Caenorhabditis elegans: one gene and its partners. The protein of the gene in region 1 purifies or fractionates together with the protein of each later gene. This does not show direct contact. Each region holds a gene or a part of one and is shown on either strand. Other genes may lie near its edges.

Region 1 (2,883 bases):
TTGACGATATTTTTTATCCCCGAAGTATAATTAATAAATTTTCTCGGAATATAACTGGCAATCGAAAAAAAAGCCCAGTTGTTTTTACAACGCTGTCCGCTAAATATTTAAGTATATTTTATAAATACCTGGAAGCTACAGTACTCTTTGAAGGCGAACACCTTTTTGCATTTACCGTATTTTTCCGCACAAAAATCTTAAAATTTCAATTTGCCTGATTATTAATTCTTTTGAAGGGATCCAAATACAATAAATACAGCATATTTTGAATAAGGAATGTGACTTTTAAAAACCTTCAATTCATTCAATAAATGCGTCGTAAACTTTAATGTTTCCGCAATGCGCGTAGTTTAAAGTGTTTGCAGAAATATGCCTGCGTCTCTTCAGCGAACCTGATCTTTCATTAAACACATTTCTTGTTGCCATTTCATGAAAATTTCACAACGTTTCTTCCTTTTCCATTGATTTCTTAACTTTCTTCAATTATTTTTATCTTCCAAATCATTATTTATGCTCCTGTTTCTTTATTTAATTAATTTTCAGGGCGAAATGTTTAGTCAAAACCCGTACGAGTCACACGTCGACGTCGCCGTATCTGCAGCTTCAGTGAGTTTTACTTTTTACATTTAGAATTTTTAAAAATTCGTTATTCAATTGCAGGCTAATCTCCGGAATATGACAAACGAACAATTAATTTCGTTGCTAGACGATGATGCCCTTTTAGAATCGATTATTGTCAATCTCCCGCAGGTTTGTAAAAAATATTCAGCAGGTGATTTATTTTAACTGGATAACTTTTCAGGTCCGCTCAATGCCGACTGATAAGGAATCAGCTCTTGCCGCAAATAAATCATTAGCAGAATGGAATTTAGCTCAAAAGCCGAGAATCGATGCTGCCAAAACGCAAACGGTTGATCTCTACGACCAAGTAAAAAAGCTCCAAGGAGAAGTTGCCGTGCTGAAAAGTCAATTGGACTCTGTTTCCTCATCAAAATCACTTGATACAACATCGAGCTTGATGCAAGTCGCCGCACAAGAAGCTGATGATGATGCAGAAGCCCTATTCACACAATTTGAAAATGGAGAAATATCCGTGGAAATTTTCCTGAAGCAATTCAAAGATAAGAAGACAATTGCTCATCTACGAAAAATCAAGTCTGACCGTCTCGCAGCACTTCTTCGTGAACAAACGTATTCTTCATATGCTCAACCAACTGTACCTCCTCCAATGCCACACGCTCAGCCTGGATACCCAACAGGAAATCACATGCCTGGAATAGGAAATATTCAATTCGGATCTGGCTATTCAGGATATCCAAATATTTCTCAACCTTCTGCTGGTCGTCATCCATTTTTCTGAATTCTTTCGCTCGCTTTTATAGATTCTTTAATTCTTTTCCGACAAACTGGTCATCGCTTGTAAATATTTGAAAAAATAAATTAATCATCTTGAATAATTCATAAAATTTTCACAAGTTCAGGTTGAATCCGTTTTTATTTGAACTATTTTTTCAACATCCTCTATAAAAATATTTTTGAATTTTCAAGCAGAATGTCATCCCGAGCGGTCTCCTTATTATCTCGCGTGATCTCACAGAATCGAGGACTCGCATCGCTACGAGAAACTGTTGGAGAGCGTGACGCCAGTTTGCTCTACGAGCCGAAATTTCAAGATAGTAGAGAGTTTCCAGAGTACGTTCGCCAAGTTCTCAAAAATTTGTTAAATTTAAAAAAAAATTCAGGTACAACACAATTAACGTCCGAATTCAAGGACACGACTTTGGATCGCTAGAAAAATATCAAGCATACATTCATAAAACTGCGAAACGATTCGGATTTACCGTGGTGGATAGTTATGCTGTCGCTGCTCAAACACAAAAAGCAATCACCTATAAGCCGTACTCGACGGTTTCCGAATCTGAAATTGATATGTCCACATACGATCGCGTCGTCCGTCTCAGTGATGTTGCCGCTCCCCGATTCTCACTTTTCAGTCAAATTATTCGAGCACATATTCCCATTGGAGTTACTGTAGGTTTTAAAAAAATGTAGATTTCGTAAAATTAGCCAATTTTCGATGTCGTAATAACATGAAATATGATGAAATTTATTTCAATCAAAATATATTCTTCAGATGACGGTGAAAGAACACGAGAAAGTTGATGAAGACTCCCGATATATTCCTGATTTGTTATTGAAGCAGAAGCAAGAAGAACTCAAAGCATTGGATGATCCGAATGTACGCCGCAATCTCGGATGGGAGTAAAATTTAATTTTTTATTTAGTCTATAACTTCCTATAGTCATTTAGTTTTCACTGTTGCTGTTGATAAATTCTTTTTGAAATTTTCTTGAATATTAATATTCTCTGTTCAATGGACTTTTTTGCCTTTACAATGCCTTTTTCTCGATTTTCGCCTTCATTTTAACGCTTATTTTCAAATTGTTATCATATCAGAATTCTCGGAATATCATCAAGAATAACCAGGATGGCGTTGTACGAACTCGTCGACATCGGAGCCAATCTGGGTCATCCTTCATATCAAAAGGATTTGAATGATGTGCTCGATCGTGCCAAGCAAGCCGGGTTGTCGAAAATTATGGTTACTGGAACCAGCGAAAAAATTAGTCATGAATGTGCAGATCTCGTTGAAAAGTATCCGGGATTTTTGTATTTTACTGCAGGTATGTTACCGAAACTTTCAATCACGCCCTCGTTATCAATTTAATAACTTAAAATTCCTAGGCGTTCATCCGCACGATGCCAAGGATTGGAATGATGGAACATTGGAAGCTCTCAAAAAATTACAAGAAAACCCGAGTTGCGTGGCTGTTGGCGAATGTGGTCTCGATTTTAATCGCAACTTTTCTCCACAAGATGTGC
Region 2 (2,764 bases), 4.6 Mb from region 1:
GAACTTTCGTCAATTTGTTCGAATTCTTGCACACTTTCAACCGATTTCAAGAGTAAAGAAAAATGCTCTCAACTCGAGAAAAGACAAATTGCTTTGTAAGATTATTCTTTCAAGTTTTTAATTATTTAATTTTATTTCAGTTGCGTTCAAAATGTACGATTTAAATAAAAACGACTACATCACACGTGAAGAATTCAAAGTCATTCTGAACAGTATGGTTGGTGCCAATATAACTTCTGATCAACTCGACAAGATTGCTGATCGAACGATTGAGGAAGCTGATGCAGATCGTGATGGAAAAATTTCTTTTGATGAGTTTTGTCGAGCAATGGAAAAAACTGATATTGAGGAGAAGATGTCGATTCGATTCCTAAACTAAGCTTTTACAAGAAATTCCCCTGCTAGTCTCGTTTTCAGTTTGCCATTTTCTCTTACCTGTACATAATTTTTGTCACTTCTCACCATTTTGCCTTGAAGACACAAACTATCTCAGAAGTTGTTTATCAATTTTCGTGTGAAATCAAAATTGACAAAGAAAAATGAATGTTTTATCAGTTTTATCATTGATTAATAGTTTTCAAACATTTACAAAGGAGCACATTGTCCCTTGCAGATGGCTCCTTGACGATCCTTTTGAACTGCCTTCAAATCATCTCCAACCTTGTAAGTGACTCTTCCAATTCCATCCAAAGTGACTTTTACGGTAGCAACTGGCTTTCCAGCATCATCCCAAGTAGTAATCTCCCAATCCTTGAGTCCACATTCATCGGCTTTCTGTTGGAAGGTGTTCTTCTGAAGCTTCTTCAAATAGCTCCATCTGAAAAAGAAAACATAATTTTTCTATTGATGTCCTCCGAACAAACCTTTCAGATTTCTTTCCATTGCTGGCAACAATTTGTCCGCTGAATTTCTTGTCTGTGTCCGATTTCAAATGAACAATGATGTCACATGCGAGAGCGACAGATAAAAAGAACAGAAGAATAACTGCGACACGCATTCTAAAAAAGTATACTGTAGACTACAATGGTTCTATTGATATGGCAAAATATCAGCAACGTTGGTGTTCTCACAAAAGAAATACATTGGAAAGGTACAAAGAATGGAGGAAGAGAAATTTTGTTATTATAGAAAATATTTTGATTGTTCAACTGTTGGTAATTCAACAGTAAAAAGGATAAAAAGAAACATGAGAACGAATAATTGGGTATAAACAGGTAGTAGTCGGTCTATCGGTCGCAGTGGTGAATGGGTAGTCTGCCACAGCGGCCGAATTGCGATCGATACGGGCTGTCCTTGAGAGCCTTGGTGTTGTTACACAAAACAACGATAAAGTAAATCAAAAAGAAGAAGACAAATGAATGAAGCATTGAATCAGTTTTGTTTTCAAACAAACACCGACTAAACGAAAAAGCAATTGGTGTGTCATTTGTGAATTTTGTTTTGACGACCACATTCTCACATTTTCAAGGATCGGCACTGATATCTGTATTCATACTAAGTATACCATGTAGGAGCACAAGAGCCTACAGACGTAGGCATGCGTAACTGGTGACATCCTAACACTACGTTCACACGATGTCAATTAACATTTGGGCTAGTAAAGAAGGCATAGTTGGACTAGGTGATCTTCGGGAAGCTACTCATGCATCGCATGCACACATCTTAGCACCTACATGTTGTATCGACATTTTAAGTATTTTATCAATTTAACAATGCAAAAGAATGAGCACCCCGCGACTGAAAGAAAATGAACTGTCATTAAAAGTTAATATTACGACATAGAAAAACTTCAAAATAAAACAATTTTTTACGATTGTTCTAGTCGATTTGTATTTCTATTAATTATATCTAAGCATCTGAACATGGGCTCGAACATGCTAGAAATTTCTAGAATTTGGCAATTTACCAATAAAAACATAAGTAATTTAATACGATATTCGACGATGTAGGCTCGAACCTAAACGATCATTTTATGTATATTTTGAACTTTTAAATACTGTTCCCGAGTATTTCTTTTCCAAATTTCATATTCAACACAATCTTCCATGTTTAATCAGATTTCACAATTTAAAGGTTAACGCGTTACAGTATTCCATGAAGCCGAATATTGAAAACTGGTATATGTTCTCTTATTGTTGTCACAAAAATCACAAAAATAAAGTACACCACGTGTGTGACTCTAGTTTTTCTAATCTTTTGGTGTTTTGTTGTTGTTCGGTTACAGTAGAGAGATAGACTAGTTTTTGAGAGTTAGACAAAAATTTTATGCCAGTATAAAAAATTTAATTGTCTTATGAAAACAGTAATGGAAGAATGATATTTTGTCTGAAGATGATAATTTAACTTCAGGAAAGGGTACAAAAGAGAGAAATGAGCTCTTCACTTTGAAATACTGTTGTGCCAAAAGTGTTGATCAGAATTCTGATCCTCCGACGGTTATCTAATAAATATCTAGTTTTATTCATTTACTTCCTTGGTCCTGATTTCAACAATGTTTTGAAAATAAATCGAATGAACTGAAGATCTTATTTCAGGTCTTAAAACCAAATTTTCGGGGATCTGTACATGACTAATCTACAAAGTAAATTAGTTGCCATAGAATCTGACGTCATTCTAAATTATTGAGTCACGATCCAGCATCCGATTATTCAAATTCAAGTTTCAACGAACTGGTCTTGAAACTCCGCACGAATATTTGTGGGCTGATTCAAATACGAATAATGTGTTTTTTTCCGATTAAACTACTATTATTGTGACATAATTT
Region 3 (5,153 bases), on another chromosome or scaffold:
AAACCCCCAAAAACAAAAAATTTAGACAACTTCATAAAAATATACTTTTCCGCTTAATCTTCCATCTTAATAAATTTCTAAAATTTTCCAGGGAAAATTGGTGAAAGGAATGGGCGGTGCAATGGATCTTGTCTCTGCTCCCGGAGCCCGTGTGATCGTTGTAATGGAGCATGTATCGAAGAACGGAGAGCCAAAAATTCTAGAGCACTGCGAACTTCCTCTGACCGGCAAAGGAGTAATTTCCCGAATCATTACTGATATGGCAGTTTTCGACGTGGACACAAAGAACGGATTGACATTGATCGAAGTCAGGAAGGATCTTACTGTAGATGATATCAAGAAACTCACCGCTTGCAAATTCGAAATTTCCGAAAATCTGAAGCCAATGGGACAGGCTCCTCTTAATCAAGGATAATTTGTCAATTTTGACAAATTTCCGTGAAATGTGTAAATACTTCTTTAGTCCGTTGTTTGTTACTTTTTTGTCTTTTGCCTATAATACCGGTTTAGGATTGTGTGAACAAAAAGAGTTTTAATGAAATAGTTCATAAAAAAATATAAAAATTGAGTTACAACAAAAATTACAGTTCCAGTAATTCATAGAGGAGTTTTGCAGAGCTGAAAATTTTTTATAAAGTCGAAATTTTTGGAAACAAGAGCTTACAGTAGTAATATCTGGAAGTGGCTTCAGTGTCTCGGCCAAAGTCTGAAGAGCTCCAAGTGGACACAAGGTGGCTCCATTACAAATTGGAAGTTGACTTGTCACATCAGAAATCGGAGTGTCATCTCCTTCACGGTACAGAACCTGAAAATTTAATTGTTCGAATTTTCTGGTTTCTCTCTGGAATACCTTGAAGAATCTCTCGTTTGTTGACGTGTTTCTGTGGAATTCCATAAATATTCCAGCTGCGTATGCTGGCCATCCGTCAAGTGTGTTAGCGATTTGTGGAATACCAAGAGCAACCAGGACACCGTACACATTGTTGTCATGCTGGAAAACGAATTTGTTGTGAGATCTTGGAAAATTGATTTCAAAAATTAAAAAAAACATTTTTTTTGTCAAAATTTTTTTTTCTGAAAATCCTGAAAAAATTCGCATGAAAAGTAACTAGCTTTTCTTTTCTTTTTTTTTATATTTCAATTTCTTAGAGTTACCTACAATGCTTGCCTACATTCCGACAAGCCTTGACTGGTGCCTCGGCATGAGGTAGGCAGAGGTAGCTAGGGATGAACAGATTCCTACCTACTATGATGGTATACTTAACTTCCAGTCAAGTACAGTAATACTACCGTAGTCTACCGTATTCCCAACTACGGTAAGATCGTGGCTAGATATCATGCATTTTTGAACTTAAATTATGGAGTAAACTTTAAAATCTCTTACAATAGAATATCCATAGAATTTCAGCTTATTCAAATAGCTAGTGCAGTTTTGTCCCAGCTCTGCACAATTCAATTTTTCATTGGCACGATTGAAAACTTCATTGATAATAACTCCGGATCGAACTTTTTTGATTTCAAGACCCACATCGAGCCCGGAAGAAGTGACAGCAGGATTCTCTGAAACCAAGCTTCACTGAGACTTTAATCTCGTCCCAACTAACCAAAATTTCCCTCTAAAAATCCCTTAACCGGAGCATATGTAACTTGGGCTTGATAGTAGAGTTCTTCATTGTACCATGGAAGCTTCGCGTACATAGTTCTGTTGAAATATGCTCTCTGGCATTTCCACGTATCTGGGTATGTTGTGAAGGAGTCTAGGCCAGATGTCATGTTGTAATATCCACCGACACGACGGTTAAGTAGGACCACCTAAAAATTGAAATTCAGAGGAGGCACGTGCCTGCCTACCGTCTATTTTCTACATTCAGGCAGTCAGGATTTAAACTACAATATTTGAGATTCACATATTGTAGCTTTACGCATTTGATCGAATGATAAATGAACAATCGTTCACGAAAAACTTGACAGTAGGTCTACTAGTAGGCAAGCGTCTAGGCGGAAGGCAGGCATTTTAGGCGCCTGTTCATAGTTACCGACAAAGCCATCACAACGTGAATACGGTTACCGATGATAGTATAATTCAATCAAACCTTACCTGCGTATACTTTGGCAAAACTTCCGGAAGAGTCAACATCTGCCCTTGGAGAAGATCGTATCTTGTGCATGGACAGTTCTGACTAGCGGCCTGGAAAGGTTTGTAATAATTTTGTAATTTTAACTGGCACGCGCAGTAAGATTATTTAAGACTACTCGAGAACCAATGTAAATTTACAACATACACACTGATCCGGACCATCGACGTGAACTGGAACAAACGTGAATCCAGGGAACCAAGTGAGTGGGGAGTATGGATAGTCAACGTCTGAATATGGTAATCATCAAAACTAATGCATTAGAGGTAATATAATAGTTGGATTTTTGCTAATTTTATAAGAGACGTGCAGACAATTTCAATATGAAAAATTAAAAAGTAAAGATATCACTGGACTAAATTTATCTATTCGTTCAACAGAAAAAGTCATATTGGCTTTAAGTTTGAACCGTTTGGCATAAAAAATTTAATCAATTTTTTGACAACCTACTTTTGACATCATACAAGCTTGGTGGAAACAGCCCGTACAAAAGTGATTGTGCCGAAATAATGGTACGATTGAAATTAGTTGATCTAAAATATACCTGGAAATAATCATATTTTGGCACGTTCTAACATTTTTAGGGTATACCTCTCTGGACGCATACTTTGGTGTCAAAAACTTCAATTTAGTAACATATCTTTTACGAATAAGCCATCCAAGTTCGTTCATTTCTCCCATTCCAATTGCAGTCAGCTCTCCGAGACCACCTCCTCCATAAATCCAATCTTTTTCGTAAATTGGGTATTGATCAACTTGAGATGCACGTTCTCCGTGTCTCCACATCTTGAAATAATTAAAAATAAATTGTACTACCCAAGTAACTTTCACTGAGGACTAAATTTGGCATTTAGGATTTCATATAACTTACCGCTTGAACAAACTCCAATTTGACATTGCTCTGCCCATTAGCAAATACCAAAATGGCTGTTGAAGCCAACAGACTGAAAATTGAGATCATCATAATTTTTGATCTACAAATGTTCCTATATCAGAACAACCTATTTAAAGAGTTGAGCTCGTTAAAAAAACCATAAAAATTGTTTCAAAATCATATCTTCAGATAGAAAATGAATAAAAATATGGTCAGTTTAATAGATATAACTATCCCGCGTTTCGATTTTCTCGTGATTACATGATAAAGCCATGTACTTTTCAGAGTGATGATAGACTGAACTCATAAAATTGGTGTGAAAGAATATGTAAACAAACTAGGTCTGCAACATTTTTTCTTATCGAATGGATATTTTATCAATTCTGGTCTAAAGTCGAAATATATGCTATCTAAAAGTTTGTGACCATGGCCGTGATCTTTGAGCACTTTTGAAAGTACCATTTATCGAATGTTGCAAAATTCATGAAACAGTCTCTGTCAGAACTATTCATGTTTTTAGTTTTTAGTATTTTTTCCAGATATATTTTTTTGCGTTTTCCAGATCTTGGGCAGGCGTTAGGCACATCCTGATTAGGTCTTGGCACAGGGCGAAGTTTACCAAAAATTTTTGGCACGTGCTCGCTGGCTGCCTCAAAATTCATGTTTTCTCGCGGACAAGAAAACTTGAGAAATGTGAGCAAATGGCCTTGAAAATCCTGGAAGAGGAGAATTCCTCGTCCACCGCCAAAATAGCGTGTGAAAGAAGAGACGCAGATGGCAAAACGGTTATCCTTTGTGTTTTTCACGTCCAGAGAAAAAAGTATTATCTGCGTCTCTCACCGCCAATGCATAGCGAGAGTTTGCAAAAAGCATTAATCTGTTAAAAAATTTGACTAAAGTTGGCAGAGCCATTTAATGCGTTTTTTAGTTCGTTCGTGAATAGTCCTACCAACAAAAACAACAGTTAATTTGTAAAGTATCCATTAAAGGATTTGAACTGTTAGTTCTCAATTAGAAAAATAAAGGTATTAGTTGAATTTTTCTTCATGGTTACTCTATATCTTTTTAATGGCTATTATATTGTACGCACTTAAAACCAACTTTGAAAATTTATAGTTTTTTATTTCTAAATTGTAATACATATTACAAGTTTTATTTTACCATAATTCTCTTGGTCCCAACTTTTTCCGTACAATTTCTGAAAATGTTTAAACATTCTTCTGTGATTCAATGTCTTCAAAAGAATTTCCAAGACAGACAAAATCCATTTCATATAAAAATGGAACACTCAATTTCAACAGAAAAAAAACACTCAATTTCAACAGAAAAAAAAAATTAAAACAACCAAAAAGTGAAAGCTTGGAGATGGAAACAAAAGATCATCATGAAAATTTGATATGAATACAAACGGTAAAAACAACTAGTAGAAGACTAAAATTGGATATTTATGTTGATTTCTGGATGGTGGGCCAATCTCCATACGTCTCGTCATCCCATTTCTGAAACTATTATCGGATTAGATCAGTCAATGTTTGGATTACAGTATGTAAAAGTTACTTTTACTGCGATGATATAAACTTTTAAACATTAAAAAATGGCAAATAATGAATGCCCTGCTTACCCCAACAAATTCTGGATTCAATGAGTTAGTCACGCTCCGTTGGCTACCGTAATCATTGTTACTTTGTCTTTTAACGTGTTTGTGTTGTGAATTATATTCATTGGCACGTTGTTGTTTCGATTGTCGTGATGTTGAAATTAGTGGATACGATGACAATGATACCTTATTTCTTCGTTGATTTTGATACCAGTCATTCTGAAAGCAAATTTCAGTAATTCATAAAAATAATATTAGTGAGGCGTAGTCTCAGTTTGATCTACTAAGTTATACAAGCTCCGCAAGCCCTTCAAAACACTATCAAACTATTAGGTCTCCAAGTAAGTTCCGGGTCAAAAAACATAACTTTGTTTGCTGCGAATCGATTTTTCTGAAATTGTGGGAATTTATGTTATCAACCATGATCTTTCATTTGACAATAGTCACAAAATTTTTTGGCCGTCCGAAGTGCCCGTACTCGGAGCCAATTTTTTCAGGCATTTTTCAGATCTTGCTTCTTTTCAGGTTTCAACTGAGGTTTGTGTGC
Region 4 (3,704 bases), on another chromosome or scaffold:
CAAAGGAGACTTATCGAATTCAGCTGAGCTCTCGGGAACATTTGAAAATTAATTTTCCTCATCAAGTTGACAGTCTGATTAGACTTGCAGATTCTGACAGTGAATGGGTATGTTCAATGTTTTGTTACATTCTCCCAAATTTTTATTTTTAGGTGCTCGTGGCATCCTATACAGTCACAGATCCAGAAGCTCAACTTGTTTATACTCTGGAAAAAGTTACAAAATCATCAAATCCAACATCACCATCTCTTCTCAAAGCATAATTATACCCAAGCCTAATCTGAAATGTTTGAAATATTGATATCATAGATAAATATTAATTTTTCAAAAAAACCCAAATACTATGTAATCCCACGCAAAGTGAAATAATGCCAGAACAATAATTCCAATGGATAGTTTGACAGCCCAAACTAATAGATAAATCACACTCCTGAAAGCAGCTTTCAAAGTTCTAAGGCTAAACTTCCGACGTCCTTATAGCATCTCTCTTCATGACGGTTGAGATTGCTTTGTTGGCTGAAACGTTAGTTAGGGAAACTGCAAAATAATTTAACACACGAATCGGGTAATATTTAATATTCTTTATTTATCCCGTTATGTTTGTAATTTATGGCTAGAAGATTGGCTAGTTTTGAAAATTCACAAAAAAAAAGTCTAAATACATTGGATCTAATGAATACATTAAACACTGGTGAGTCTCGAGAAAATACAATAAAAAATTGCAATTGAACAGGTGGTTTACAAATGTAGAGTTATAAAGGGGTAAAAATGAGGAGTTGCCTAGACGCCGAAGAACGTTCTGATCATTGTTTCTGCAGCCAGACCAGGGGTGATTTTTCCACTTCGAATTTCATTTTCCAGTTTCGGTGCCTGTAAAATTGAAAATTTAGAATTTATCAAACAGTATTTTTTTTTAATTCAGTATTATATTTTTTGCAAATTCTTTTGAAATATCGTTTTGATGGTGTATTTTAAGAACAAAAACGTACCAAATGTGCTATTTTCGGATGCTTTTGGAAAACGGACATAATTTCGTCTTTAACATGATTCCACATCCATTTTTTCATTTGATCCTGTCGCCTTCTTTCCAAATCTCCTGATTCTCCGATTGTATCCCAGAATTCGTACAAACTCGAACAAACTTCTGATACAGATTCTTTATCCATAATTGAGGATCTCATAACTTTTGGACGCCATACATCGAGTCGTGGTCGCATGAATTTCAACGCGGAAATGTATTCAGCCTGTGTCATCTTGGCTTTCGCTTTCAAATCTCCATCATCTTTCGTCACAACCAACAAATCACTCATCTCCATAATACCTCGTTTAACACCTTGCAATTCATCTCCATGAGCAGGTGACAACAGAAGACACATCATATCACACATATCGGAAACGGATGTTTCAGATTGACCTACTCCAACAGTCTCAATGATAACAATATCGTATCCAGCACCTTCGCAGAGGATCACAGCTTCATGAATTCCACGAGTGACACCACCGAGCGATCCAGAAGTTGGTGATTGACGAATGTAGGCTTTGGGATTACGAGATAATTCTTGCATTCTTGTAAGATCTCCAAGAACAGATCCTCCCGTCATGGCACTAGTGGGATCAATTGTTAAAACTGCAACTTTCTTTCCTCGATTTTCGGTTAATTCTGCTCCTAATGCTTCAATGAAAGACGACTTTCCTACTCCTGGACTACCAGAGATTCCTACTCGAAATATCATAGAATCTCTCCCGAATTTCTTGTATTTCTCTCGTTCTTCATCTAAAACCATCTTCAACAACATATTTCCTTGTGCTCTTTTTGTCGGATGGCGAGATTCAACTAGTGTGATTGCAGAAGCCAGGGCAGCTCGACTTCCGCTCATCAATGATTTGAAAAGTTTCTGCACATTTGGATCATCATATGTGACAGAGTCATCCCAATGAACACGAGAATATTGTTCTAATAGATTATCAAATGGCATTGATTTCTGAACTCCAGTGACTGATGGAATATAGGGTTTTGGAGTTGAAGATACTGCTAACGATGCGTGTCTGAAAATTCTATTTTCTTGATATTAACGATAATAAATCTCACCTACAACTAGCTGAAGTGAGTCTGGATACCCGAAGCAATGATCTTACTACCATCTGAAACAATAAGATAGACTTGGTAAAACGCATAGTAATAGAAATAAGAGATATCAAGTGTTGAAACGTTTCAATGATCAAAATAACAAAACAACGATGTTATGTAAACAATTGAATTCATTCGGTTTTAGTCCAATTATTGGTTCTGACAAGGAAAAATTAAATATTTTCGAAAAATGATGGTTGGTAAAGTATAAGGGGGCATGGGGAGATCTAAAATTTCAAACAAAATTTCGATTTACAAGTTAGTTATCATTGGGGAACAAGGGAACAATAAAGATGAACTCGTTTTTATCGTTAAAGAAGAATTAATAACTAATAATTAGTTATTTACAGATTTTTGTTCAGTGGAAACGGGATCGAATCGATTTACATAAGATCTTCCACTCCACGTGTCTCTATCAGAAGTTTATCCCAATCAATACTCGCATTGAAGACTTCCTGTTCAAGCCACTTTTCGTAATCTTTCTTAAAATGACGTCCAAGTTTCAGATTTGCACCAAGAACAGAGTGAGCACACGTGTCAACGGGCTCAAAATCTCTCATATCAACTCGATTCAGGTAGTCGTCACCAGGCATTGGAGCATCATTCACTTCTGAAAATTTAATTTTTGTTGCTATAAGCTTTTGTTATTTTAATCTTACCAATAGCAAATTGAGGATATAATGCCGAATATCGTCTACTATGGAATCTTTCGATGCTTGCTTTGATCAAACTGTCTTCTTTTTGATAATCACACTTTCTCTTGATATCAGAAGCAAACGCCCAATCATCGGTCATTCGATGTCGAACTCTCGAGTAGATCGCCGAAATTATGTCCATATTACTTTTTCTCCACTGGCGTCCAAGGTATCGTGATTGCATTTTGATCGCTTTCAGCACGTAAAGTTGTAGTACCGATACTCGTACTTTGAAAAGTCTCTTCAAAACTGGAGCAGATTTGAACACCATCAGCATTTTAACTCGATCGTTTTTAGCTTTGACCAATTTGTTGAGTAGACGAATGAGATTGATTGCGAAGAAAACATTTCGCCACATGAAATACGGGCCAGCGCCAGGTGGACGTGGTTCTTCTATATTGTCTTGAGTCAAAATTGGCCATTCTTCTGAAAAAGGAATACGAAAAATTTAGTTTGGAATAATTAAGACTCACCATTATTTCTGACATAATGGTACAAACATTGTGGATAGTTGTAGGCGTAGATTTCATGTCTTGATTGGATTAATTTGTTTGTGTTCTGTAACAAAATGAAATGAAAAGCAGAAAGAAGAATCTGATTTTGAAGGGAAGGGCTTCAATTTTTAAAGTCTGCACGTATATTTCACATGCCACTCATTGAAGAATGAGAAACGCAGAGAAAAGGGTGGGGCGATGGATAGATCGAGCGGCAAATGAACTTTGGTGAGGCAAGATCGCTTTTGGAACTTTGCAAAAGAGCAACAAGTGACATACCTGATCGAGAAACTTTAAAATCAAGGGAATTCCATTCACATATACAATCTGTTGGCAAATGTATTCGAATTGATAAATGTGATTCAGCTTGAAGTGCTTAACTAGCAA

The links.
Region 2: the proteins of mrpl-48 (region 1) and ZK856.7 fractionate together in Caenorhabditis elegans (co-fractionation; one large-scale study listed by BioGRID). This does not show direct contact.
Region 3: the proteins of mrpl-48 (region 1) and pho-11 fractionate together in Caenorhabditis elegans (co-fractionation; one large-scale study listed by BioGRID). This does not show direct contact.
Region 4: the proteins of mrpl-48 (region 1) and mmaa-1 fractionate together in Caenorhabditis elegans (co-fractionation; one large-scale study listed by BioGRID). This does not show direct contact.

The regions. Positions count from the first base shown.
Region 1 is NC_003283.11:5,592,158-5,595,040, forward strand, and holds mrpl-48 (Small ribosomal subunit protein uS10 domain-containing protein), read left to right. Parts: upstream 1-1,548; 5' UTR 1,549-1,552; coding exon 1,553-1,692; intron 1,693-1,742; coding exon 1,743-2,031; intron 2,032-2,134; coding exon 2,135-2,266; 3' UTR 2,267-2,342; downstream 2,343-2,883. Other genes in the region: vps-37 (VPS37 C-terminal domain-containing protein), read left to right, coding at 550-606, 661-750, 803-1,360; crn-2 (Deoxyribonuclease TATDN1), read left to right, coding at 2,489-2,684, 2,746-2,883.
Region 2 is NC_003283.11:10,200,332-10,203,095, reverse strand, and holds ZK856.7 (uncharacterized protein), read right to left. Parts: upstream 999-2,764; 5' UTR 998-998; coding exon 864-997; intron 818-863; coding exon 586-817; 3' UTR 543-585; downstream 1-542. Other genes in the region: chpf-1 (EF-hand domain-containing protein), read left to right, coding at 1-95, 141-379.
Region 3 is NC_003280.10:9,929,809-9,934,961, reverse strand, and holds pho-11 (Putative acid phosphatase 11), read right to left. Parts: upstream 3,114-5,153; 5' UTR 3,100-3,113; coding exon 3,007-3,099; intron 2,922-3,006; coding exon 2,727-2,921; intron 2,680-2,726; coding exon 2,586-2,679; intron 2,366-2,585; coding exon 2,283-2,365; intron 2,189-2,282; coding exon 2,099-2,188; intron 1,813-2,098; coding exon 1,605-1,812; intron 1,561-1,604; coding exon 1,385-1,560; intron 992-1,384; coding exon 851-991; intron 806-850; coding exon 665-805; intron 619-664; coding exon 598-618; 3' UTR 531-597; downstream 1-530. Other genes in the region: C05C10.3 (putative succinyl-CoA:3-ketoacid coenzyme A transferase, mitochondrial), read left to right, coding at 92-415; C05C10.2 (DNA2/NAM7 helicase-like C-terminal domain-containing protein), read right to left, coding at 4,455-4,514, 4,631-4,825.
Region 4 is NC_003280.10:7,099,022-7,102,725, forward strand, and holds mmaa-1 (Methylmalonic aciduria type A homolog, mitochondrial), read right to left. Parts: upstream 2,143-3,704; coding exon 2,090-2,142; intron 2,047-2,089; coding exon 990-2,046; intron 871-989; coding exon 781-870; 3' UTR 562-780; downstream 1-561. Other genes in the region: T02G5.3 (EF-hand domain-containing protein), read left to right, coding at 1-107, 153-263; farl-11 (DUF3402 domain-containing protein), read right to left, coding at 2,512-2,738, 2,788-3,249, 3,297-3,381, 3,597-3,704. UniProt on the Caenorhabditis elegans protein: May have GTPase activity. May also bind and hydrolyze ATP. May function as chaperone. Likely to have a role in propionyl-CoA and adenosylcobalamin metabolism.